2 linked regions of the Kluyveromyces lactis genome follow. Each later gene encodes a partner of the first gene's protein in a complex. Links are inferred from orthologs where the notes say so. Each region holds a gene or a part of one and is shown on either strand. Other genes may lie near its edges.

The links.
Region 2: COQ11 (region 1) and CAT5 share a complex: the UniProt entries of both Saccharomyces cerevisiae proteins name them as parts of the multi-subunit COQ enzyme complex. The link is inferred for Kluyveromyces lactis from reciprocal best matches to the Saccharomyces cerevisiae genes COQ11 and CAT5.

Annotation. Positions count from the first base shown.
Region 1 is NC_006037.1:400,126-403,037, forward strand, and holds COQ11 (ubiquinone biosynthesis protein COQ11), read right to left. Parts: upstream 1,672-2,912; coding exon 820-1,671; downstream 1-819. Other genes in the region: KLLA0_A04389g (SUR7/PalI family protein), read left to right, coding at 1-650; KLLA0_A04433g (translation initiation factor eIF-2B subunit), read right to left, coding at 2,337-2,912. UniProt on the Saccharomyces cerevisiae protein: Component of MIOREX complexes, large expressome-like assemblies of ribosomes with factors involved in all the steps of post-transcriptional gene expression. Component of a multi-subunit COQ enzyme complex required for coenzyme Q biosynthesis.
Region 2 is NC_006041.1:223,444-226,252, forward strand, and holds CAT5 (putative monooxygenase CAT5), read right to left. Parts: upstream 1,448-2,809; coding exon 737-1,447; downstream 1-736. Other genes in the region: FRQ1 (frequenin), read left to right, coding at 1-376; PHO92 (mRNA-binding phosphate metabolism regulator), read right to left, coding at 1,970-2,764. UniProt on the Saccharomyces cerevisiae protein: Catalyzes the hydroxylation of 2-hexaprenyl-3-methyl-6-methoxy-1,4-benzoquinol (DMQH2) during ubiquinone biosynthesis.

The sequences.
Region 1 (2,912 bases):
AAATAGTCTTTTTGACTTCTCTCTCGCTTGCGTTGGTGTTTGAATTGTTCAACACTATATCAGTACCGATAACATCACATTTGTTCATTTCGGAGTATAATGGATACAAATTCGGTGTATTTGGGTGGTGTAAAGTGGACGGATCCATTTGCTCCCCAATACGTATGGGATATTCATTGGATGATATCCTTCTCTTCAATGATAATGAATACCTTCATCTACCAAACCATGCTAAGTACGCTCTTTCGAAGTTATTGCTGGTTCATGTATTGTCTTTTGTATGCGTACTGGTGTTTTGGTTATTTGCCATTCTAATATGTATTAAATGGTTAAACACTTCAAAGAGTGTGTTACTTTTCGCCGTGGGCTGGTCCATGGTCACTTTCATGGTTTCCCTCTTGGGATTCCTTATTGACGTTTTAATGTTTGCATCCCACGTCACGTGGTCAAGTTGGTTGATGTTAGTTAGCGCATTCTTCGTGGCCTTAAGTGGCATTTTACTTTGCCTGATGATTAGAGATTTATCTTACAGAAGGTTCGTCAAGCTGCAAGGAGAAGTGGACGTTTGCGTCCCGATGACAGAGCCACGAGATCCGGATGAATTAAACGAAATTTGGAAAAAGAAAACTTCGAAGAGAGAGATCCTCTGAAGTGATATCACCTAGTCTATATACCCTTTTTGACTGGTTCCTTCCCAATACTGCATTTGTTTCTTTAGAAAAGGAACATATATCTCATCGCATGTTTATTATAACTCTTCATTAATAAAGTACTTTTTGTAATATTATTTCTCACGTTTTAAATAAAAGATACATTCTCTTACATCTTGAGCATTTCGTCCAAGGTCAATACCCCTTCACAGTTGGGATCCTGTAATGCTAATATTAACGAGTGTGCTACTTGCTGTGTAGAGATTAATGGTCGCACAAGGTCGTTGACAAACGGTATCTTTTGTCTAAGTACCATTTCATTACCGCAGTTCAACATTTGCAAGAAATTACGAATCTGCGTTCTTCCATCCGATTCAGAGTTTCTTTCGTCAAACATAAACCCAGGTCTTAAAATGATGGACCTTATCTGTTTCCCGTATTGGGAAATGTGTTCTTCGGCCTGTCTCTTAGAATCAATGTATCCACTTGGAATTGATGGGAATCCTCTGTCAGCCGAAATGTAACTGAAAGTCTGAGCTTGACCACCGTTCACCTTCATATAAGTGTCTGCAAGTAAGGTGGCACTATAACGGTTCATCATGTCGTATGTAAATCTCGATCTCTCAGGTTTTTTTGGTGCCAATGGGTTCTTACCAAACCCTCCGAACGATAACTTCGGTACCGACCAAAACGAACCATTGATTTGTTTCTTGTAATTCTCATTCTCCAAAAGTATTCCTAGACTGTGAACTACATCAGTGGCATTACGAAGTACTGGTGCATATGTGTCAGGATTAAAAATATCACAAGATCTCCATTCAACTTCATTTGCCCATGGTTCAGATGAAGTAGCCTTTCCCGACCTCGATAGTGAAACTACTTGGAAATTTGCTCCAACAGCAGCTTCACAGATACGTTTCCCCAAGAATCCAGTACCACCAAGTACTATCAATTTGCGACTCATATCAATGGCTTCCGGTATACAAAGGACCCTTTTTGATAAAGCAATGCGTCTCATCATTTATTCATTGTCAGTTGCGGAGTGACCATCATTTTAGCTTTGAAACGGCAAATCTCAACTTCGCAGAAGCATTTGTGGAGAGGAACAACCAAGTCACGTGACCAGAGTTCATGATGGTCGCATCAATCACTGCACTGGCTCAAGTTAAATTTAGTTTACTACAAGGAGGATACGAGAATAAGGAGCGGATACTCCACTATCGATTATCAAGAATGGAACCTGGATCAATCCTTCAAATAATTTTTGAATACTGCTGCGGTTGAGAAGAGGATCCCTTGTTTCTCAACAAAAAGCTATGAGCCAAATTAGGCATCTACTGGTAAACTATCTAAGAATGTGTGAACTTCTAATTACGGGTCAAGGTCATTGATTTCAAAATAGGGCCTTTTCGTACTCAAAAGAAGTCAACTCGATGTGGCCCATTAGTCATAAATGTTTCGTTAATTCATAATTGAACAATAAACATTAACCATCCAGCTCAAGATTGAAAGTTTCAGATACATTCAACCGAGCGAGGCACAGGGCATCGGTATTATAAGAACAAGAATCGATGTTTAAGGTTTGAATTACCAGATACATCAATAAGAAATATGCAACAATGAATGCTGAGTTTCTTAGAACAGATCGTATCTTAAATTAAATCTATTTCAGACATGCATGGATCGTTATATTTTTTCCCCGAGGTTTACATCCTCTTGTTTGTAGTTGTCCCATACCACACGATATATGAAACTTGGGGCAAAGCCGCCAATATTGGTGATATAAATATCGATGTTTTCCGGGGGAATATAGTCAGCAATTGGATTTATCGTTTCTAAAGCAACGGTACCTACTCTATCATTCTCAGTTGTAGGCAATACGTTCTGAGATCCTCCAATTTCTACCATCTTCTCAACATCGAATGGGTATAATGGAGAAAGTTTATAAAGACCAGCAACGGCAAATACAGGTGTTCTGAACTCTCTTGCGCACTCACATACAGAGGAGACACCAGCAGTCGAAGATATCGTTCCACCGTTAGTGAAAACGGTTTTAGCTCCTATAATGACCTTCCCCACTCTCGACATCAATGCAAATACAGCTGAATCAGGGATTACAATAGTCTCAATGTCATGTTCACTTAATTTTTTAGCGAATTCATGAGCCACGGTTGCGTTGTTAGGGAATCCTTCAGTCACTAAAACAGTAAAATTTCTATTATTACCTTCTCTAGCCTTCAGAAGGAAACGAAGAACGGTTTT
Region 2 (2,809 bases), on another chromosome or scaffold:
GTATGTGTTTAGCGTGTTTGACAAGGATAATAATGGATCCATTGACTTCAAAGAATTTATCACAGCATTAAGCACCACTTCCAGGGGCTCCTTAGAGGAAAAGTTAGTCTGGGCTTTCCAACTCTATGATTTAAACCACGATGGCGTAATTTCATATGAAGAAATGTTGACCATAGTGTCAAGTATTTATAAAATGATCGGGAACATGGTAAAACTAAGTGACGATGAAGCTACTCCAGAGTTAAGGGTAGAAAAGATCTTTAGGCTTATGGATAAAGACAAAGATGGTTGTATTACGTTAGATGAATTTAGAGACGGATCGAAGGTCGATCCATCTATAGTAGGGGCATTGAATCTTTATGATGGATTGGTATGACCCTTGTGTAACCTGCTTCCATACAACTTACTTAGTGTAAGTTTTCAACGGTTGCACGGCAATTAGGCGGGGGCACTTTTTTTGGCTTGAAGTTGTTAGTCTTAAAGTCATATTCATACTGACTGTTTCTTTTAATGTGCTCTTTTTTGATAATGGAGCATGCGGTTCTCTTCCTGAAACATTGATTTACGTTAGTTTCCAACGTGTATGGGTGTAACTATATCATCAGTGTAATATATACGTTTGTATACGATACTATAATACTTCTCCAATCTGTATATATAAAACCAAATATGCCTTATCACGTATTCATCACGGTTCATTAGAAAGGGTTAGCGTACTGTCAGAAGGGCCAACCATTCACACACGTTCCGCTGCCCAAATCGCAACTCTGCAAACAGTCTTGATCCCCTCCGTCAAAAGAATGTATGGGACTGCCTTATGCGAATCGTAATCAATAGCTGTTTGCAAATGTTCCAATTCTTCGTCTCTGAATTGTTTGATAGTAGCTTGTAAATTTTTCAATTCTACAGTTTGTCCAACTTTAGTTCCATCTTCTGATTCCAATTCATATTGATTGTTGAGACAGCGAAGCTGGTCATTATAATGCCCCCCAATAACAGTTTCGACAGCTTCCGTGCATGCCATTGCCGCTTCTGGTGACAAGAAAGCTGTCCCAGAACCCATTGCGAATGCTCCAATTTTCCAAAGCGGTGTCAATAATGAAGGCCTCACACGCCTTTTCAGCTGTAAATTGTTGAATGTATCATGATGGTGAATCTCTTGATCCCACATATGTTGCAACACAGGGCGCAAATGTGGATATCTATTGGCAAGTACGAAGAATTGACCCGCATAAATGTAATTTGCTCCTAATTCACCAGCCTGGTCCACCCTAACCACCCTATCCAAATATGCTAGCTGAGCGTCTGACATTGGCTTGAATTTGGTCAATTCAGCAGACTCATTAGGTTCCGCTCTATGCTCCCCTGCATTGCTACTATTGCCCAAGGTAGATAAGACCGAAAACTGTCTTAGCGGGACGGCTCTCCTACAGCACGTACGAAGCATTCGCTAACTTGATACCAAAAGCCAATTGAAAGGGCGAAACTTTGAAGTGTAAGATAGCGATTAACCTGCCAAACTTTACCAACAAATACTTGTCCTGATGAAGAACTGCTTGTACAATTAAACCTTGAAGAGCAATACCCCAGCCATTTATATAGTATACCTTTATTCTATATCAAAGTTGTGCTTTTTCACCATGATCTGCTGATTGTCAGTATAAGGAAATATTATTGGGTTACCCGATTTTGCGCCAGTGGCTTGAAGAAATGCTGTCATCGAATCAGGTGCAAGAAGTAAAACCTAAACCTCTGGCAAGTGGAAGCTATTCGATGTGGATCCTAGTAGAGACAGTTTCCATTCCCAAACCCTTTAAAGGGGGTTTTGAAATGTAACCCAAGCGATTGATACCGGAAGTTCACCATCATATAGTTACTAGTTTAGCAACTATATACATTAGCTATATTACATTCAGTCACCGCGTGTGTAACCGTCGCAAAGTTCTAGGGACCTTTCTTGGAACAAGATTTAAAATAGTAGAGACGATTTAGTATATGAGTTGTGGAAAATAGCAACAATTTCGTGTCCAATATTGAACGGAACAATTTCTGTATCACGTCCATGGCCCAATGATTTCTGTTCACCATCAGTTTCCCAAACCAAATGATTGAATCTACGCACTTTCACATCGTTCACATACCACCATTTTATCTGGAATAAATGTGGGAAAGTGTACGAATCAGTATGTGTTTCCCAAATATTGGCGCGAGGATCATTTTCTATGAGATCCGAGCACATCTCTGCAATGCCACAGAATTTACCAGATTTGTTAACAGAAAATAATAAGAAAAGTTTAGCACCTGGTGCAAGACTATGGTATTCTCTCTCAAGTCTTCTGTTCCCTTTGCGTGTCGAAGACCATACACTATTTTGTAGTGCAAGTTTAACGTTTCTTTCGTTGAAAGACTTGATAACAAAAAATTTAGAACCATGTGGGATCCCATACACCGACTCACGGTTCTCTATTTTCGAATAATCAGTAGTGTACTCTTTCAGCGGCGATAAAGACTCCATTATGGTAGAAGCTGTGGAGAAAAAACCATCCATGTTTGACATTAGACTTTCTATGAAACTAGATCCGCCGCTTGTATCAAAGGATTCTTCATCATTGAAACCTTTAGGAACTATCTTTTCCTGAGTATCAGAACGGTCTTTATACCAAGCATTACCGTTACTGGCATTATTTTTATCATCAAAATCAAACTTCGATGAGGCATTCAGCAGGAACAATTCCGTCCATAGATCCATTTGAATATTACACATTTTTCACACTGAACCTAAAAAGTTAATATATTCTTCTCAACTTAA